3 linked regions of the Anolis sagrei genome follow. The protein of the gene in region 2 interacts with the protein of the main gene of each other region in a pairwise test. Links are inferred from orthologs where the notes say so. Each region holds a gene or a part of one and is shown on either strand. Other genes may lie near its edges.

Evidence for each region.
Region 1: the proteins of MYOD1 (region 2) and ID2 interact in a two-hybrid assay, tested with the Homo sapiens proteins (2 studies listed by BioGRID). The link is inferred for Anolis sagrei from reciprocal best matches to the Homo sapiens genes MYOD1 and ID2.
Region 3: the proteins of MYOD1 (region 2) and ID1 interact in a two-hybrid assay, tested with the Homo sapiens proteins (5 studies listed by BioGRID). The link is inferred for Anolis sagrei from reciprocal best matches to the Homo sapiens genes MYOD1 and ID1.

The regions. Positions count from the first base shown.
Region 1 is NC_090021.1:129,265,640-129,273,295, reverse strand, and holds the start of ID2 (DNA-binding protein inhibitor ID-2), read right to left. Parts: upstream 3,024-7,656; 5' UTR 2,900-3,023; coding exon 2,546-2,899; intron 767-2,545; coding exon 710-766; 3' UTR 700-709; intron 1-699. UniProt on the Homo sapiens protein: Transcriptional regulator (lacking a basic DNA binding domain) which negatively regulates the basic helix-loop-helix (bHLH) transcription factors by forming heterodimers and inhibiting their DNA binding and transcriptional activity.
Region 2 is NC_090021.1:247,607,141-247,614,454, reverse strand, and holds the start of MYOD1 (myoblast determination protein 1), read left to right. Parts: upstream 1-4,234; 5' UTR 4,235-4,396; coding exon 4,397-5,023; intron 5,024-7,314. UniProt on the Homo sapiens protein: Acts as a transcriptional activator that promotes transcription of muscle-specific target genes and plays a role in muscle differentiation. Together with MYF5 and MYOG, co-occupies muscle-specific gene promoter core region during myogenesis.
Region 3 is NC_090024.1:241,995,643-242,002,860, forward strand, and holds the start of ID1 (DNA-binding protein inhibitor ID-1), read left to right. Parts: upstream 1-4,172; 5' UTR 4,173-4,258; coding exon 4,259-4,591; intron 4,592-7,218. UniProt on the Homo sapiens protein: Transcriptional regulator (lacking a basic DNA binding domain) which negatively regulates the basic helix-loop-helix (bHLH) transcription factors by forming heterodimers and inhibiting their DNA binding and transcriptional activity.

The sequences.
Region 1 (7,656 bases), about 120 Mb from region 2:
AACAAAAACATGTTTTGGGGGCATGCAACTGGCAGAAAAGCAAATTCCCTATACGGTCACACAGACAACAGATATGAACCTACTTGGAACAATAAACTGATTACAAGTTCTTTAGCTGACACCAGAAACAATCCTCTCTATCACATGCTTTCACTGGGATAAACTTTGAGAAGTCTGGGTTGCTCTGAGTTTTCCAGGCTGTATGGCCATATTCCAGAAGCATTCTCTCCTGACATTTTGCCCACATCTATGGCAGGCATCCTCGGAGATTGTGAGGACTTCAGGAGAGAATGCTTCTGGAACATGGCTATACAGCCTGGAAAACTCACAGCAACCCAGTGGTTCTGGCCATGAAAGCCTTCAACAATACTTTAAGAAGCCAGTTTCTCAATTCATAGCAAACCGTACATTAGTGCATTATGTATATAGCAGGCTGATGTACACCATATAATGCAATTTAGATGATCCAATGACCATTATCATGAACTACATGGCACTGAATAGCATTATATGGGTTCACATTGATCATATCATGCAGGTCCAAAGGGTTGGATCTGCACAGTGTAGATAGATCCAGCCCTAGACTGACAGAAGCTCACATGGATTATCTAATTTGGCACTGAAGTTTTTCCAACACTTGGACCTCCCAAAACTTAAAACTTAGTGAAAACAAAAATTTACAGAAACTTGAGCACTTACCGATTTCCTTCTAGCCACAAAGTGCTTTGCTGTCATTTGACATTAACTCTGAGGGGAATTCAGCTGCCTGCAAAGAGGAGAAGGGAGGGAGGGAGAAGAGAAGGCAAGGCGATGTTAAGATGCTTAAGAGCCCAAGAAGGAAGCCTCGGCAGGGAGGGAAAGAGGGAGGACGGCAGATTACCACCAAGGCCCTGGACGTGACCAAACAGAAGTACCATAGCTGGCACTTAAGGCAAAATACATAAGTAATAGACAAGGAGGTTGCAAGGCAATGCAATCAACGTTTCCCTTCTGGTTGGAAAAAGGCAACATTCTGAACCCATGCGATTTGAACAGATGGGAAAAGCATGAGCATGGGGTTCCTCTATTCTACATTGTCAAATAAATGAAGTTTGGCTGGCACAGTTCAATGCTTTGGAGGATCAGGGGAGTTGTAGTTTGACAAGGTTTTTTATAAGTCTAAGGAGTACTACAATGTGAACAGATGGGAGAAGCATGTCCATGGGGGGCTTCTATTTATACTGTGGAATGAATACAGTTGAGCTGTCACAGTTTCCTGTTGTGGGGATCAGGGGAGCTGTAGTTTGATAAGGTCTTTACAAATCTAAGGAGTACTACAATTTGAACAGATGGGAGAAGCATGTACATAGGGTGCTATCTGTACTGTGGCATGAATGCAGCTGGGCTGCCACAGCTCTATGTTATGGGGATCAGGGGAGCTGTAGTTTGATAAGGTCTTTATAAGTCTAAGGAGTATTACACTTTGAACAGATGGGAGAAGCATGTACATGGGGTGCTCCTATCTACACTGGGGAACGAATGCAGTTGGACTGCCACAGTTCAGTGCAATGGAGATCAGGAGAGTTATAGTTTAACAAGGTTCTTTATAAGTCTAAGGAGTATTACAATTTGAACAGACGGGAGAAACATGGGGTGCTTCTATCTATACTGGGGAACAAATGCAGTTGGGCTGCCATGGTTCAATACAACAAGGGATCAGGGGAGTTGTAGTTTGAGAAGTACTACAATGTGAACAGACGGGAGCATGTACATGGGGTGCTTCTATCTACACTGGGGAACGAATGCAGTTGGGCTGCCATGGTTCATGCTATGGGGGATCATGGGAGTTGTAGTTGGACAATGTCTTTATAAGTCTAAGGAGTACTACAATGTGAACAGATGGGAGAAGCATGTACATGGGGTGCCTCTATCTACACTGGGGAAGGAATGTAGTTTGGCAGCTACAACTCAATGCTATGGAGATCAGGGGAGTTGCAGTTTGACATGGTCTTTTGTAAGGACACGTGAACAGATGGGAGAAGGATGTACATGGGGTGCTTCTATCTATACTGTGGAATGAATGTAGTTGGGCTGTCACAGTACAATGCTATGGGGATCAGGGGAGTTGTAGTTCAATATGGTCTTTTACAAGTCTAAGGAGTACTACAATGTGAACAGATGGGAGAAGCATGTACATGGGGTGCTTCTATCTATACTGTGGAATGAATGCAGTTGGGCTGTTATAGTACAATACTATGGGGATCAGGGGAGTTGTAGTTTGCTATAGTCTTTTATAAGTCTAAGGAGTACTACAACTCTCAAGACACCATGGCAACCAAGTAAGTGGCCTCGCCCCATTCCCAAGGCTTAACTGCCTGAACTGCCCAGATGGGAGCCTGGGAGCTACAGCTTGGCAGACCTCATAAAACTACAACTCCCACGATCCCTTCGCATTGAGCCATGGCAGCAGCTCGAGATGCAGCCTAGCACTCCTTGGCCAGGAGAGAGGGGGGTCTGGAGATACTCCCCTCCTCCCGCCAAACCAATCCCCATCCTTCCTGCTCACCTGTAGGGAGAGGATGCTGATGTCGGTGTTGAGGGCGGTGAGCGGGGTCCGGGAGGCGGGCCGGGGGTGGTGGAGGCCCACGATGGCCGGGTGCGTGTCCAGGGCGATCTGGAGGTCCAGGATGTAGTCGATGACGTGCTGCAGGATTTCCATCTTGCTGACCTTCTTGTTCTGGGGGATGCTGGGCACCAGCTCCTTCAGCTTGGAGTAGCAGTCGTTCATGTTGTAGAGCAGGCTCAAGGGGTCGTCCGCCGGCGCCTTGCTGCGGGAGATGCCCAGGCTGGGCTCCGAGACGCTGCTGCTGCTGCCACTGCTATTCTTCCGCGCTGGCCGCACAGGGCTAAAGGCTTTCATTCTGCCCAAACGGGAAGGAGGGAGGGAGGAAGAAAAGAAGGCTGCTTGCGACTCTCCTTCCTCCTGCTCCTGCTGCTGCAGCTCTCTTCTCTTCCTACTCGACAGTCCGAATGAAGCCGCAGCCGCCCGCTCGGGCTTTTATAGGGCACGTCCCGCCGCCGACGGGGGGAGCCTATTGGAGGCCCGCGGTGTGTCCGTCACGCGCGGAAGCCCCCCTGATTGGCCCGACGCAACCCCAGAGGCGGCTCAGGGCTTCCGCGTTCTCAGCCAATCGCAGCCCAGGGAGGCGTGGCCCCAGGACAGCTGTGGGGAGTAAATAGACAGGACAGGCAGCATCTACACCAGGATGCGTCTACACCAGGCATGGGCAAACTTGGGCCCTCCAGGTGTTCTGGACTGCAACTCCCACAATTCCTAACAGCCAGCAAACTTGGGCCCTCCAGGTGTTTTGGATTCCAACTCCCACAATTCCTAACAGCCGGCAAACTTGGGCCCTCCAGGTGTTTTGGACTCCAACTCCCACAATTCCTAACAGCCGGCAAACTTGGGCCCTCCAGGTGTTTTGGACTCCAACTCCCACAATTCCTAACAGCTGGCAAACTTGGGCTCTTCAGGTGTTTTGGACTCCAACTCCCACAATTCCTAACAGCCGGCAAACATGGGCCCTCCAGGTGTTTTGGACTCCAACTCCCACAATTCCTAACAGCTGGCAAACTTGGGCCCTCCGGGTGTTTTGGACTCCAACTCCCACAATTCCTAACAACCGGCAAACATGGGCCCTCCAGGTGTTTTGGACTCCAACTCCCACAATTCCTAACAGCCGGCAAACATGGGCCCTCTGGGTGTTTTGGACTCCAACTCCCACAATTCCTAACAGCCGGCAAACTTGGGCCCTCCGGGTGTTTTGGACTCCAACTCCCACAATTCCTAACAGCCGGCAAACTTGGGCCCTCCGGGTGTTTTGGACTCCAACTCCCACAATTCCTAACAGCTGGCAAACCTGGGCCCTCCAGGTGTTTTGGACTCCCAACTCCCACAATTCCTAACAACTGGCAAACTTGGGCCCTCCAGGTGTTTTGGACTCCAACTCCCACAATTCCTAACAGCCGATAGGCTGTTAGGAATTGTGGGAGTTGGAGACCAAAACACCTGGAGAGCCCAAGTTTGCCCATGCCTCATGTAAAGAGTTTCCCCTGACATTAAGTCCAGTCGTGTCCGACTCTACAGGTTGGTCCTCATCTCTGTTTCTAAGCCAAAGAGACATCCGTAGACATCTCCAAGGTTAAAATTGATGTTCTAAACCACCATATAATGTAGTTTGAACTGTAATATATGAGACTATAAAAAGACAAAGGTTTCCCCTTGACATTAAGTCTAGTTATGTCCGACTCTGCGGGTTGGTCCTCATCTCTGTTTCTAAGCCGAAGAGCCGGCGTTGCCTGTAGACACCTCCAAGGTAATGTAGCTGGCATGACTGCATGGAACGACATTACCTTCCTACAGAAGCAGTACCTGTTGATCTACTCACATTCACATGTTTTCAAACTAAGCTGGCAGAAGCTGGGGCTGACAGCAGGAGCTCACACTGCTCCCTGGGCTCGAATCTGCGACCTTTTGGTCAACAAGTTCAGCAGCTCAGCGGTTTAACCCACTGCACCATGCCTGATGTACACTAACACTAATGTGGTTTGGCATCACTTGAACCGTCATAGCTCAATGCTATAGAGTTGCAGTTTAATGAGGCTAAATAGCTTGGAAAACTACAGCTCTTACGATTCCATTGCCACTCCCTGGATTCGAATCTGCGACATTTCGGTCAACAAGTTCAGTAGCTCAGCGGTTTAACCCACTGTGCCATGCCTGATGTACACTAACATTAAGGTGTTTTGGCATCACTTGAACCGCCATAGCTCAGTGCTATGGAGTTGCAGTTTAATGAGGCTAAATAGCTTGGAAAACTACAACTCTCATGATTCCATACCTAGAGCCATTGTAGTTAAAGGGGTGCCAAACTGCAATACATTCCACAGTGCGGATGCAGCCTGGCATTCCTCAACCAAGAAAGATAAAGACCTTGTAAAGCTACAACTACCAGGATTCCATAGCATTGAGCCATGGCAATTAAAGTAGTGTCAAACTTGAGTTGGGAGTCCAAAACACCTGGAAGGCCCAAGTTTGCCCATGCCCAATTTATACACTGTAACATTAAGATGCTTTCACACCGTTTGAACCACCATGGCTCTATGCGGGGAGAGCCAAGGGAGAGTTGCAGTTTAATGAGGCAGAGAAGGATAAATAGCTTGGAAAACTACAACTCTCGGGAATCTATAGCCTGGAGCCATTGTAGTGCAAGGCGCGCCAAACTGCAATACATTCTACAGTTCGGATGCAGCCTGGCACTCCTTGTCTAAGAAAGATAAAGACCTTGTAAAGCTACAACTCCCAGATTTTCATAGCATTGAGTAATGACAATTAACATGGTATCAGACTGCATCAATTCTGCAATGAACTGCATCCTCAATGAACTGCATCCTCATTTTAAGGTCCCTTCTACACTGGCATATAAAATCCAGATTATCTGCTTTGAATTGGATTGTATGGCAGTGTAGACTCAGATAATCCAGTTCAATGCAGATAATGTGGATCATCTGCTTTGATAATCTGGATTATATGGCAGTGTAGAAGGGGTCTAAACCTTTTTCCATGCCATTCCTGTGTTACTCTTTTTTAGAAGGGGAAAAATATCTTTCCTTCCTACCTAATGATGAATCACATGGCATGAGAAGACTGAAAGGCTGCTATCAAAAGGAAAAGGGAGAAACAGAAGAATCATTGTTAAATCAAGCAAAGAATAGGGGAGGCGACTTTGTTCCCGCACAGATTGGCCCAAAGATTTGCTTTTACTGAAGCCGGCTGGTCGGCAACTGTGGGACAGCCGGCCCTTGGTATTCGCTGAAGTTTGGTTCCTTAAAAAAATTATAGGTTTTGTGAAGCTCTCAATATAAACAGGCAAAACCAGAAGAACAGACTAGCATGAATGCTATCTAGTATCTACAAAGGTCCTAGAAAGCTGCCTAGTTACAGTTTGGTCCCCCCGTGGATACCAAAATCCATACTGGAGTCTTGTTTTGTTCAATGGCAGAGTAAAATGGGGTCCCTTATATAAAATGGCCAACTCAACAAGGCATGGATGGTTGAATTCCAGTAGGAGAGAGCTTTGGAGTCACTTCAGTTAATAGGGAGCCAGGGAGTAGATGAGGATCTGAATCTCCTCAACTCTGTAGATGAGGATCCGAATCTCCTCAGCCGTGGAAACTCATTGGGTGGCCTTGGGCAAGGTGCACTCTCTCAGTCTCAGAGGAAGGCAAGGACAAACCTCTTCTGAAGAAATCTTGCCCTGTGAGAAACAAATGGAAGGCACATAACAATGGGAATTTATGGATAGTAGGCTCATTTGCAGGGTAGTTGATGATTGGAGGTCTCTCACTCATTGGGTCAAAGTCAACTTGATGGAAAACAACAACAGTAGGACAGTAAGGAAAGAAGTCGTTCTGTCAACAACATGTGTTGATTGGGCAAGACCAAGCCGAGCTCTTTCGTCTTTACTGGAGGTGTATTGCTTGAGGGCTGAACTTAAGTATTCCAGAGAGTACAGTTGTTTGGTTTGACAAACGGGCTAAGCAAACATTACTGTTAATTAGAAGAGGGATGATGACCTTTGTACTGGTGGAATGGAGAGGACAGTCTCTCTTGTAGATCTTAGGGTCTGAGTGGACTCAAATTGGGAGATTTAGGGCCCTTCCACACAGCCTCACCAAACTACAAATCCCAGGATTCCACAGCATTGAGCAATGGCAGCTAAAGTGATGTCAAACTGCAACATTTGCACAGTATACATGTGACCTACATGGTCTTTCCTAGGCCCTTCCACACAGCCATATAACCCAGAATATCAAGGCAGAAAATCACAAAATATCTGCTTTGAACTGGGTTATCTGAGTCCACACTGCCATATATTCCAGTTCAAAGCAGAAAATGTGGGATTTTATTCAGCTGTGTGAAAGGGTCCTCAGGTTGCAGCTACACTGTAGAATTAACACAGTTTGTCACCACTTTAACTGCCACAATCCAAGGCTATGGAATCCTGGGAATTGGAATTCGACAAGGTCTTTAGCCTTCTCTGCCAAAAAAGTGATGGTGCCTCACCAAACTTCCAGAATTCCATCGCATTGAGCCAAGGTAGTTAAAGTGGTATCAAACTGCATTAATTCCACAATGTACATGCACCCACAGTCTGTCAGATAGCCTGGGGCAAGTTGCACAGGGCTTTAAGATAATGCAAATACGGAACTCACCATATGGCTACACTGGCTGAGCAAGGTTCCTGTTCTCTTCTTCCCTTTCAGTGCATATATGGCAATTGAATTCATCACAGAAAATCTTGGTGACAAATATGAATGCCTGCTGTGTTTGTTTCCGTGCAGCTCTGCAGAAGATAATGATCATCAGAGTCAGTGCTGCCAGAAACATTTCAAACGTAAAATTTAAGTCTACCTTTCACCACTATTATATTCTTGTAAGAGATGTGCCAACAGACCGAACAAATCATTATTGCCGCCCCATTTGGATCAGTCTACTTATGACTTGAAAGTTCACTAAATGTAAACCTACCATCAGTTAATATTAGGGTTTCTTTCTTATCATTTTTTCCAATTTTTGAGCTTTCCAGGAACATGTTTCACTATACTGTTATCATC
Region 2 (7,314 bases):
TGTATGTATGCATGTATGTATGTGGAGGTATATGTGGCAGCTTTCTGATTGGCTGCCACTTTCACAGGCCACCCCCCATGACCCACTTTACGTCCTGGTGAGGTTTTGGGGGGAGGTGGACCACGGATTATGAAATCTGTAGTACTTTAAAACGCTTGGGCAACCACAGACCACTGCTCCTGACAGGACAAAAAATGATGGGACTTGCAGTACCTTCACTCACTTCCCAAGAGAGCTGCGACCTTTATCCAATGACTGATCAAGACCAAACTTGGCACACAGAGCCCCCATGACCCACTCTACATCCTGGTGCAGTTTGGAGGAGGATGGACCATGGAGGACGATGGGACTCCCAGTGCCTTCACTAACTTCCTGAGACCACTGCGAGACACATAAATAACGGATAAAGACCAACCTTGGCACACAACGCCTTTTTCAAATAAGCCGGGTCCCCAAGCTATTAATAAATAAATAAACCCTCATTTTGAGGAGAAAGGAAGGTGTCTGGAGAATTACTCTTTGGCAAGTCCTCCATATGATTCCAAGCTGTTTTTTCCCTCTTTGGCCACAAGGAACATAAAGCCCCCCGCCCCGCCTTTATATTTGGACATCCTTCCTGGGAGGCGACTTATACACTGGGCGGCTGAGGCCCCGAAGCGTGTCCCTCCGCGCCCACCCGTGGGGGATTCGTGAGCCTTCCTGTGCTTGCTCGCTTGTGAGATCCCGTGTCGCTCTGTCCCAAGGGGAGACTCCACTCCTCTCCCACCGAGGCGGAGGTCCAAGCGCCTCGCTATCTCTCATCACACTAGAGAATGAATACACTTTAAATCCGGTTTCTGCCTCCTGCAGAATTCTGAGGTTTATGGTTTAGTGAGGCTAATAAAGGCCCCCTCCTTAAACTACAAACCTCAGAATTCTGCAGGAGGCAGAAACCGGATTTAAAGTGGATTCATTCTCTAGTGTGATGAAGTACTCTTTCTGGACTCGCTTTCTTTTCAGAGCAGAACGAATGCAGTTGCAGGGTTGAGAGAGAAGAAACGAGAGATTTCAAACGACAACGCCTTGCTACTCTTTTTTAAAACAGCAGTTATCTATATTCCGAGGGGACAAGCCAGGATTTTGACTGGGGGGGGGGGGCTGAGTCTGAGTGAAAGAGGGTCTACCCTAGCAAACCTTTTGTATTGTTACCCCAATACCCCCATGCTTATGAGATATATTGAGCATGGTGATCAGATCATGATAGGAATAAACATAACAGTTTAAATAATGTACCAGGAAGGCCTTTTTGCAGACCACCACGAGAATTTCGGGGGGGGGGGGGGCTGCGACGGGATGTCGATCATTCGCATCGGATCCAATGGAAAACCAGAACCAAACAAATCCAGTTGAAATGTATGTGAGGGGGGGTTATATTATAATGCTTTGTGCGCCCAGCCTTTCGATTTCAAGTCTCCTTTCTCCTACATTCAAAACAAAAGTGCTGCATAGAGGAAAAACACCTGTCCTTGAACTCTTCCCTGTCTCCTTTCCACCACTTTTTCTTTTGCCCTTCTTCTTCATTGACTACTTCATCACACTAAAGCATGGACCCACTTTAAATCCGGGTTCTGCTTCCCGCAGAGTTCTAGAGTTCGTAGTCTAGGGAGGAACCTTTAACAGCCTCACTAAACTACAAACCCCAGAATTCTGCAGGAGGCAGAACCCGGATTTAAAGCGGATCTATGCTCCAGTGTGATGAGGAATCGAGGCCCCTTTCACGCATCTGAACAAAACTCCACATTATTTGGCAGTGTGGACTCGGATATTTGTTTATTTACAACATTTATATGCCGCCCTTCTCACCCGGAAGGGGACTCAGAGCAGCTTACAAGTAAAATGTAAGCACAATATATTATATTATTACTATAGCACAATATTAATATGATTAATATTATTGCTATAATACTGTACTGTTATATTAGTAATATCACATGTAATATAAAATATGTAATTATAATACCATATCCTAAGGCTCTTCCACACAGCCCTATATCCCAGAATATCAAGGCAGAAAATCCCACAATATCTGCTTTGAACTAGGTTATCTGAGTCCACACTCGGATATTGTAGGATTTTCTGCTTTGATATTCCGGGATATAGGGCTGTGTGGAAGGACCCCCAATTCAAAGTAGATTCTGTGAGATTTTCTGCCTTGCTATTCTGGGTTTTATGTCTGTGTGGAAGGGCCCTGAAGTAGAAAGCAAGCTTTAAAAACGATTTCAATGTGGTTTGAGGGTAAAACAGACTGTTATAAAATATCTTTACGATGTGATGAAGACAATAAACAACGAAACAAACTGCAAAATATGTTTTTTATTTTCATTTCATTTTTATTAAAAATGCCACTTAAATCTAAAAGGAATAACAATAGCAAGAAATCACACGGAGGTGAAACTGAATCAAATAAGTCGCTTCCAAAGCGCGGGGGGGGGGGGGCAACGATTAGGTGGGCAGAGAGTGCCCTCAAAACAGGGCCAGAAGGCGCGAGAGGTAAACAACATCACAGAAGTTAGAATTCAGGACACCGTTTCAAGATCAGTCGGATTTTTCACTTCGATGTTTTTTTCACACACACACACACACACACATATAGTAGACTCTCCGTTAACCGACATCCATGGGGATGGGTAGATGCTGGATAAATGTCGTTTCTGGTTGCTTGGGAATTATTATAAATTATTATTATTATTATTATTATTATTATTGTAAAAAGTCCCAATACTATACCCATAAACTCTTTATTCACTCGCTATTAATATGAAGACACTGGCCCTCCACCCAGCTGAATAAAATCCCACATTATCTGCTTTAAACTGGGATATATGACAGTGTGGACTCAGAGAACCCAGTTCACAGCCGATATTGTGGGATTTTCTGCCTTAATGTTCCGGGTTATATGGCCGTGTGGAAGGGCCGAGAGTCATTCAGAGCAATGTAAGACAAACTTCAGCTTACATTTCCGCTTAAAAACTGATTTATTTGTAATCTTCACTGAAGTATTATTTCTTTATTAGGATAATGAAGTTTATCTACACCCAGCGTTTTCTCTTCACAAGGAGACCTCGGGCCCTTCCACACAGCCCTATAACCCAGAATATCAAGGCAGAAAACCCCACAATATCTGCTTTGAACTGGCCTATCTCAGTCCATACTGCCATATATTCCAGTTCAAAGCAGATATTGTGGGATTTTCTGCCTTGATATTCTAGGTTATAGGGCTGTGTGGAAAGAGTCACCAAGCGGCTTACACCAAAAGCATGATTGTTTGTTTGTTTAGGACATAAATAAAGGAGACTCAGAGCAGTTTACAAGATACACACACACACAATATATTATATTATTAGCATAGTACAATATCAGTATTAAATATTACTATATTGTACCAAACCATTATATTGTAATATTATTAGTAATATGACATGCCATATAAATATATAATTATAATATCTTAATATTATGTAGTATGTTGCAAGTCGGAACATTTAGTATAACGCCAAGTTTCTTAAACCTTGTGTTTTTTTTAAAATCCATCACAACACCGTTGAAAATCTACAAATATACAAACTTTAAAACGGAATTAAATAGCATTGGTACTTAAAAATTCAGTTAAAATCCATTCATAAAACAGATTCAAACTAAAAACCACAGCAGCCCAGCTGGTTGCTTGAGAGGCTGCACCAACACCCCCAACCAGTTTAGTGTCTAGAGCAGGCGGGGGCAAACCTGGGCCCTCCCGGTGTCTTGGACTTCAACTCCCATCATTCCTCACAGCCTCAGGCCCCTTCCCTTCCCCCCTCAGTCACTTAAACCGGGAGGGCCCAGGTTTGCCCTGCCTGGTATAGAATGCTTGCTTTTAGGCAGAAGGGTCCGTTAGCTGAAGAAGGGGAGAAAGGGATCAACTTGGAGGCGGCGACCCATAGAAAATAGCTGGAAAAGACGGTGCAGATTTGGGAGCAGCTGTCCAAGCGCCGCGCCGTGGCTTCCCTTCCCTGCGCAAAGAGGAGAAAGCGTGCTCCGAGGCGGAGAGAGAGAGGAAGGAAGGAAGGAAGGAAGGAAGGAAGGAAAGGGGCGCCCCCGCCGTCGAGGCTCCTCTGGGAGCGCTTTGGAGGGCGCGGCGTCCAATCGGGGCGGCCCTTCCTTGCGGGGTCCCTCCTTCCCTCCAAGGCCCACCCGCCCCCCGTCGGGGATAAATAGGAGCCGGCGTGGCGCTCGTGGACGGGCAGCTGTGAAAGGGAAGGAGGGAGGGAGGGAGACAGAAAGGGGCCACTGGCGTTGTCGCGAGGGGCTCCCTCCTTCCCTGGGCTTCCTTCCTCCTTCTTTCTTTCCTTTCCCCCTTCTCCCTCTCTCTTCCTCCCCGATGGAGGTGCTGGGCCCCATGGAGATGCCCGAGGGCTCGCTCTGCTCCTTTGCGGCGGCGGCGGCAGCGGCGGGCGAGGACTTCTACGACGACCCCTGCTTCAACACCTCGGACATGCACTTCTTCGAGGACCTGGACCCGCGGCTGGTGCACGTGGGCGGGCTGCTGAAGCCCGAGGAGCCCCACCACCACCACGCGGGGCAAGCGGCGGCGGCGGCGGCGGCGGCGGCGCACCACGGCGGGCCCGGCGAGGCGGACGAGCACATCCGGGCGCCCAGCGGGCACCACGCGGCCGGGCGCTGCCTGCTGTGGGCCTGCAAGGCCTGCAAGCGCAAGACCACCAACGCGGACCGGCGCAAGGCGGCCACCATGCGCGAGCGGCGGCGCCTCAGCAAGGTCAACGAGGCCTTCGAGACGCTCAAGCGGTGCACCTCCAGCAACCCCAACCAGCGCCTGCCCAAGGTGGAGATCCTCCGCAACGCCATCCGATACATCGAGAGCCTCCAGGCGCTGCTCCGGGAGCAGGAGGACGGCAGCGGCGGAGGGGGCGCCTACTACCCGGCCCTGGAGCACTACAGCGGGGACTCCGACGCCTCCAGCCCCCGGTCCAACTGCTCCGACGGCATGGTGAGACCCAGCGCCCTCGCTTGTGGACCCAGCCCTTGAGCACACAACCAGAGAGGACTCTTCACGTTGGAGGGGGGCTAGGTCTACATTGGACACGGGCAAACTTTAGCCCTTGTTTTGGACTTCAAATCCCACAATTCCTAAGAACCGCAGGCCCTTTCCTTTTCCTCCTCAGCCGCTTAAGCCCATGCCTTCTCTATACCCTAGACAGGCCCTTCCTTTCTTTGCTTTCCACTTAAGCGGCTGAGGGGGAAAAAGAAGGGGGCCTACAGCTGGTAGAGATGGTGGGAGTTGAAGTCCAAAACACCTGGAGGGCTCAGGTTGCCCATGCCTCCTCTAAACTGTAGACAGGCCCCTTCCTTTCTTTCCTTTCCACTTAAGCGACTGGGGTGGGAAAGGAAGGGGCCTGCGGCTGTTAGGGGTGATGGGAGTTAAAGTCCAAAACATCTGGAGGACCCAGGTTTGCCCTTGGCTGCTCTAAACAGTAGACAGGCCCCTTCCTTTCTTTCCTTTCCATTTAAGCGACTGAGGGGGGAAAGGAAAGGACCCAAGACTGTTAGGAATTGTGTGAGTTGAAGTCCAAAACACCTGGAGTGATGGCCGAAGTTTGTCCAAATAGTGGTTGTCAGCTGAGGCATGCCCTCCATCCTCTGTTCTACAGTAGTCAAGAGGACACACTTGCCATCAGGCAATTTGACGCCCTGGCCAGTCTGTCACTTCCAACCCCCTCCCATTCAGAACATCCCTGACAGAAGGCCACTCAGCCTCTGCTTCAAAACCTCCACAGAAAGAGACCCCACTATGCTCCAAGGCAGCATATTCCATTGGCCAATAGCAAAGTTTAGCTGGAATCTCTTTCCCTGCCATTTGAATCTATTGCTCCCAATCCTAGTCTCCAGAGCGGCAAAAATTAAGCCTGCTGCCTCTTCAATGTGACATCCTTTCAGAGATTTAAACATGGAGATCATGTTCCTTCTGGGCCTTCTTTTCTCCAAACTAAACCCCAGCTCCCTAAATCAGCAGGGTCGCTCTCCCCTTGCCTGCCTCCATAATAATAATAATAATAATAATAATAATAATATAATAATACAACATAATAACTTTCTTTGTATCCCACCCCATCTCCCCTCTGGAGACTTTGGATAGCTTACAACAAAAATGGCAGCCATTCGAGGTCAAAAGTACATCTATATAAATAAAAATGTAATGTTCGTTTGTGGGATTAACATAACTCAAAAACCACTGGATGAATTGACACCAAATTTGGACACAATACACATATTAGGCCAATGAGTGAACATCACTCATAAAAACTCTGAAAAACACAGCAGAAGAGACTTAAAAGCCAAAAAATAAAAAATACATTACAACGCATGTGCAAAACCACACATATATACACATATACACAAATATATATACACACACAAAGCACATATATGCAGCCTGTGCCACAGCAACACATGGCAGGGGACAGCTAGTAATAAATAAAACATATAATAAATATTATTAATTTCTTATCCCTGGTAGGACAAGATTTCTTTCTCTTTCTTTCTCCCTAATGTCTGCTAACCAGAGAGATTTTGGTTAGCATATGAGAGTGCATCTGCACTGTAGAATTAATATTGTTTCACACTGCTTGAACTGCCATGCCTCAGTTCTAAGGAATAGTAGGAGTTGTAGTTTGGTGATACATGAGCCCAAACTGACAAAGAAGGGTAAAGAGCTTGTTAAACTACAACTTCCATGACTCCATAGCATTTATGTCAAACTGTTACTTCTATAGTGCAAATGTAGCCTATACGTGTTGGATTACAATTGGGATGTGTGGGTTCTGTCCCCATTTCAAGCTCAGTAGGTGACCTTGGGCCCAGCTTCCTGAGGCTGTGAAGGTTTAAAAAAGGGAGGAGTCACCACATGCCCTGTTAGAGCATTTTCAAGAAAATGCTCCGTAGAAAACTAAGTAACAAATAGGACAGTTCCACTATTTGGTGGGTTCTTTAAACTCAAGCCTTGTTTTGCAGAAGGCTTCTGTGACCTTGGGTCCTACTCTGGGAGAAAGGTAGCATATAAAATACATGAATAAGCCTTTTCTTCTGTTCCTCAGGCCCAAGGAGGCCCAGAATTAATTTGTAGTGTCAGGCCACCGGGCATGCAAAGTTGCAAAACATGGCAGCCATGTAGGGTGAGTGCCCATCTCTTGCAACAGCTCCTGGTTCTAATGGGGACTTCCAGTTTGGAGAGACTGACACTTGTTTTTAAAGAAATGAGGGCTCTAGCATTTAAACATTTTA
Region 3 (7,218 bases), on a different chromosome or scaffold from region 2:
TGTCTAATAATAATAATAATAATAATAATAATAATAATAATATATTAGGATATTATTATTATTTATTTATTTATTTATTTATTTCTTGCATTTATTGACCGCCCCTCTCAGCCCGAGGGCGACTCGGGGCGGTGAACAACAACAAGGAAGACAGTGTACAGTGAGCCGTAACGATACAAACCAGACAATACAACATAACATATACTTATACTAAAAATCCGCTTCGTCAGGTCCTGGGGTCATAGCCAAAATTCGTAGTCCTAGTTCATTCCATTGTCATTCAATACACTCAGTTGAAGGCCTGCTCGAAGAGCCATGTTTTTAGGCCCCTACGAAAGGCCATCAAGGAGGGCGCCTGTCTAACTTCAGCAGGGAGGGTGTTCCACAGCCGGGGGGCCACCACCGAGAAGGCCCGCTCCCTCGTCCCCGCCAGACGTGCCTGTGAGGCAGGCGGGACCGAGAGAAGGGCCTCCCCGGATGATCTCAAGGCCCTCGTGGGCTCGTAGGCCGAGATGCGGTCTGCAAGGTATTTTGGGCCGGAACCGTTTAGGGCTTTGTAGGATAACACCAGCACCTTAAATTGGGCCCGGTAGCAGATCGGCAGCCAGTGGAGCTGGGACAGCAGGGGCGTTGTATGCTCTCTGCGTCCAGCTCCCGTTAGCAACATGGCTGCCGCGCGCTGGACTAGCTGGAGCTTCCGGACCGTCTTCAAGGGCAGCCCCACGTAGAGAGCGTTGCAGTAGTCGAGGCGGGATGTGACCAAAGCGTGTACCATTCAGACTAATATATAGCCAGTGTATAATAATAATAATACTAATATATGAGATTATTATTATTATTATATTCAGACTATTACATGGCACTGAATAATAATAATAATAATGTATTGTTATTATTATTATATACAGACTATTATATGGTCAGTGTATAATAATAATATATGAGCATATAATTATTTTCAGACTATTATATGATCAGTGTATAATTATAATAGTATATGAATATATTATTATTATATTCAAACTATTTCTGGTGACTCAGTGTATAATAATACATTATTATTATATTCAGAGTACTACATGGCAATGTATAATAATAATAATAATAAATTAGTATATTATGATTATAATTATATTCAGACTATTATACGGCCAGTGTATAATAATAATAATAATAATAGTATATTAGTATATTATGTTGATTATTATTATATTCAGGCCACTACATGGCATATTACTATATTATTATATTACTATTATATGGTCAGTGTACAATAACAATACTATATTTTGTGAGAATAGTGATGTGTCAATGTGACTGTATGGAGAGGAGAGAGTGCTGGCTTTTTGCTGAATGCGATGGAATGCTGGGAGCCGCTCTTCCCGCTCCCGGCCTCCCTCCCCCGCCCTCTGCGGTTTCCATGGTGACCGGCCGCCAGGCGCCAGGCTGACAGCGCTCCGGGTTTTTATGAATGGGGTGACGTCACGGGCCTTGGCGCCGCGCGGTCTGAGCCGCTGGCTCTGCGGAGGGAGGGAGGGCGCCGCGGTGGGAACAGCCAGCCCGGGCCAAGCTCCAGGCTTTTGCAAAGAAAGAAAGAAAGAAAGGCAGGGAAAAAGGAAGAATGCAAAGAGATTTTAATTTATTTTGTTTTGGGAAAGGCGGGGGGGGGGGGGGGAGGTCTGGGGGCTGGGAAGACAGAGCCCTTGAAATGTGCAATGTGCTGTGGTTTCAGAGATTGCATCCACACTGTGGAATTAATGCAATTCGGCCCCCACTTCACCCCCCATGGCTGCGTGCAATGGAATCCTGGGAAGTGGATAGTTTTGCAAGTTTTAGTGGAGAGAAAATGCGGGGTATAAACAAATAATAATAATAATAATAATAATAATAATAATAATGTTTTAATATAATAATATGTATAATATAATAATAATAAAATGTATATTATAATTTATATTATATTATAAATTTAATATTTATTTTATATTATTTATTTTATAATATAATGTTTTTAATATAATATATATATTATAATTTATATTATATTGTAAATTTAATATTTATTTTATATTTGTTTTATAATATAATGTATAATACAATATACATTATTATATAAATTATATTATTATATTATACATATATTTAAAAATTATGAAATGTGCAAACAATATAATGTTTTAATATAATAATATGTATAATATAATAATAATAAAATATATATTATATTATAAATTAATTCTTTTATATTATTTGTTTTATAATATAATTTATAATATAATATAAATTATATTATTATATTATACATATATTTAAAATTATGAAATGTGCAAACAATAATATAATGGTTTTAATATAATAATATGTATAATATAATAATAAAAAATATCTATTATAATTTATATTATAAATTTAATATTTATTTTATATTATTTCTTTTATAATATAATGTATAATACAATATAAATTATATTATAAATTGTATTATTATATTATAAATATATTTAAAAATTATGAAATGTGCAAACAATAATATAATGTTTTAATATAATAATATGTATAATATAATATATATATAATTTATATTATATTTTAAATTTAATATTTATTTTACATTATTTATTTTATAATATAATGTATAATACAATATAAATTACTATATAAAATTATATTAATATATTATACATATATTTAAAAATTATGAAATGTGCAAACAATAATATGTTTTTAATATAATGATATGTATAATATAATAATAATAAAATATCTATTATAATTTATATTATATTATAAATTTAATATTTTATATTATTTATTTTATAATATAATGTATAATATAATATACATTATTGTATAAATTATATTATTATATTATACATATATTTAAAACTTATGAAATGTGCAATGTACAATCATAAAATGTATATTATAATTTATATTATATTACAAATGTATTATAAATTTTATATTTATTTTACATCATTTATTTTATAATAATATAATGTATAATATAATATAAATTATAACATACATTATATTATTATATTATACATATTATATTATAAAAATTATGAAATGTGCGATATCCAATAATATAATGTATATTATAATTTATATTATATTACAAATTTATTATAAATTGTATATTTATATTATATTATTTATTTTATGATATAAATTATAATATACATTATATACACAGTAATAATAATGTGCATTTGAATATATATCTAATGCAGTTCATTAGCTATTAATAACAGTGTTAATAGTATAATAATTATAATATAATTATAATATAATATAATAATGATATAGAAAATAATATTAAAAATAAAAAATAATATAAAAATAAAAATATTTTAATTATAAATGCATTTAATTGGATAACTAGCCATTAATAACAGTGTTAATAGTATAATAATTATAATATAATAATGATATAGAAAATAATATTAAAATAAATATAATTAATATAATATAATAATGATATAGAAAATAATATTAAAATAAATATAATTAATATAATATAATAATGATATAGAAAATAATATTAAAAATAAATATTAAAATAATATTAAAAATAAAAATAATATTTTTAATTGTAAATGCATTTAATTGGAAAACTTCTCAGACAAGAAGGGGAGAAAGATAAAAGTTTGGATCCATTTTTGCTTCCACTGTGTGAACCAGGTGTAGAAAAGCAACTTGCAAAACATCAAAATACTATAAAATCAAAAAGGAGGTGATAAAAGCTATTTGTTCCTTGTGTTTGTGAACTATTCCTGGGAATGGAAGGGGAGGAGGAGGAGGGAAGAAGGAGGAGAAAGTGTCCAAGTTGTCATTAAAATCTATTTTATTTCCCCCCCCCCCAAAAAAAGTGCTTGTTGTCACATTCCTTTCATCCTCTTTCCTTTCTTTTTTTTTTGTCTTAGATAAAATGCCCCCGAGCCTTCTCCACCTGCAGCTTTACCAAAAAAAAAAAAAAAAAAAGAGTGAGAAAGGGGGAAAAAAAAAAACCAAATTGTTTCCCATTTGGAAAAAAAAGAAGCAAAGAATGTACACAAAGTAGGGGCAAAGTAGCTGAGGAAGCCACGCCCACTTCCCTGAAAGCGGCCTCCCGATTGGCTAAGGCGCGCCACCCATGGAACGTTGGCGCACTATAAACACAGCCGCTCGCTCTGCCGCTCTGGAGTTTTCCCGGCTGCTTCCAACGAGTTGTTGTTTTTTTGTGCTCAGCTTTGCATACCGGTTTTATCCCGCGATGAAAGTGGCCAGTGCAGCTGCCGTTGTGTCTCCGGGCCCGAGCTGCGCCCTCAAAGGGGTCCGGCTGGGCTCTGGCGAAGCGGCGCCCAACCATAACAGCAACGCCCGGTGCCTTTCCGAGCAAGCCGCCGCCGCCGCCTCGCTCCTGATGGACATGAAGGGCTGCTACTCCCGCCTGGCCGCCCTCGTGCCCACTTTGCCCCGGCACCGGCGCGTCTCCAAGGTGGAGATCCTCCAGCACGTCATCGACTACATCTGGGACCTCCAGCTCGAGCTCCAGGACGACCCCGCCACCCCAGGCGGAGAGCCCGCAGGAGGGACTTTGCCCGAGGTGAGCGCCCAGTCGCACTGCAGAGTTAGCGCGGGTTAGCACCGCTTCCCACTGCCATGGCTCAGGGCTATGGAACCCCCTCGCACTTGGAGGGAGTCCTGTACTTACCTAAAGCTTCCTGCCTACTGACTTTATCCCCCTATTGGATCTACCTGTATAATAATAATAATATAATTATTATTATTATTATTAAGTGTAGCCCTATATTTACCTAAAGTTGCCAACTTACTGACTTTATCCCCCTATTGGATCTACCTGTATAATAATAATAAGTGTAGCCATATACTTACCTAAAGCTTCCTACCTACTGACTTTATCCCCCTATTGGATCTACCTGTATTATATTATTATTATTATTATTATTATTATTATTATTATTTATTAAGTGTAGCCCTATATTTACCTAAAGTTACCAACTTTCTGACTTTATCCCCCTATTGGATCTACCTGTATAATAATAAGTGTAGCCTTATACTTACCTAAAGCTACCTACCTACTGACTATACCCCCCTATTGGATCTACATGTATATTATTATTACTAGTATTATGTGTAGCCCTATATTTACCTAAATTTACCAACTTACTGACTTTATCCCCCTATTGGATCTACCTAGAATCATAGAATCAAAGAGTTGGAAGAGACCTCATGGGCCATCCAGTCCAACCCCCTGCCAAAAAGCAGGAATATTGCATTCAAATCACCCCTGACAAATGGCCATCCAGCCTCTGCTTAAAAGCCTCCAAAGAAGGAGCCTCCACCACACTTATTACCTGTAATAAGTGTAGTCATATACTTACCTAAAGCTACCAACTTACTGACTTTATCCCCCTATTGGATCAACCTGTATATTATTATTATTATTATTATTATTATTATTATTTAAGTGTAGCCCTATATTTACCTAAAGTTACCAACTTTCTGACTTTATCCCCCTATTGGATCTACCTGTATAATAATTAAGTGTAGCCCTATACTTACCTACAGCTACCTACCTACTGACTTTATCCCCCTATTGGATCTACTTGTATTATTATTATTATTATTATTATTATTATTATTATTATTATTATTTATTTATTTATTAAGTGTAGTCCTATACTTCACTAAAGTTACCAACTTACTGGCTTTATCCCCCTATTGGATCTACCTGTATAATAATAAGTGTAGCCATATACTTACCTAAAGGTACCTACCTACTGACTTTATCGCCCTATCGGTTCTAACTATATTATTATTATTATTATTATTATTATTATTATTATTATTTATTAAGTGTAGCCCTATACTTACCTAAAGCCCCTATTGAATCTACCTGTATTATTATTATTATTATTATTATTATTATTATTATTATTAAGTGTAGTCCTATACTTATCTAAAGCTACCTACCTACTGACTTTACCCCCCTATTGGATCTACCTGTATTCTTATTATATTATTATTATTATTATTATTATTATTAAGTGTAGCCCTATATTTACCTAAAGCTACCAACTTACTGACTTTATCACCCTATTGGATCTACCTGTATAATAATAATAATAATAATAATAATAATAATAATAATAATAATAATAATTAAAGTGTAGCCCTATACTTACCTAAATGGATCTACCTATTAATAATAATAATAATAATTATTATTATTAATAATAATAAATATTATTATTAAGTGTAGCCCTATATTTACTTAAAGCTACCAACTTACTGACTTTATCACCCTTTTGGATCTACCTGTATTATTATTATTATTATTATTATTAAGTGTAGCCCTATACTTACCTAAATGGATCTACCTTATTATTATTATTATTATTATTATTATTATTATTATTATTATTAAGTGTAGCCCTATACTCTCCTAAAGCTACCAACTTACTGACTTTATCACCCTTTTGGATGTATCTGTATTATTATTAGGTGTAGACCTTATACTTACCTAAACATACCTGCTTACTGACTATCCTCTCTTGCGGGCATGGGGAAACTTCAGCCCTCCAGGTGTTTTGGACTTCCAACTCCCGTTGAAGTCCAAAACACCTGGAAGGCCATATACCTGCTCTATTGGATCTACACTATATATATATATATAGAGAGAGAGAGAGTGTGTATATATGGTATAGTCCTGTACTTGCTTGAAGCTATCTACTTATTGACTTTACCTATTCCCCTATTGCATATAGCTATTATTATTATTATTATTATTATTATTATTATTATTAATAGCTTTAGACCTATACTTACCTAAGCTTACCTACTTACTGACGTTATATATCCTCTATTGGATCTACCTGTATATTAATAATAATAATAATAATAGGTGTAGTCCTAGACATACCAAATTACTGACTTTATCCTCAATTGGATCTACCTATTATTATTATATATTATTTATTGTTATTGTAATCCTATACTTAACCTATTCCTACCAACTACTGACTTTATCCCCATTTGAATCGTATCAATTATAATATTATATTATTAATTAATTATTATTGCTGTCTTATCTAAATCTACCTATTTACTATCTCCCCTATTGGATCTACCTATATTATTATTATATTATATTATATTATATTATTTTTATTAATATTATTAGGTGTAGTCCTATTCTTAAATCTACCT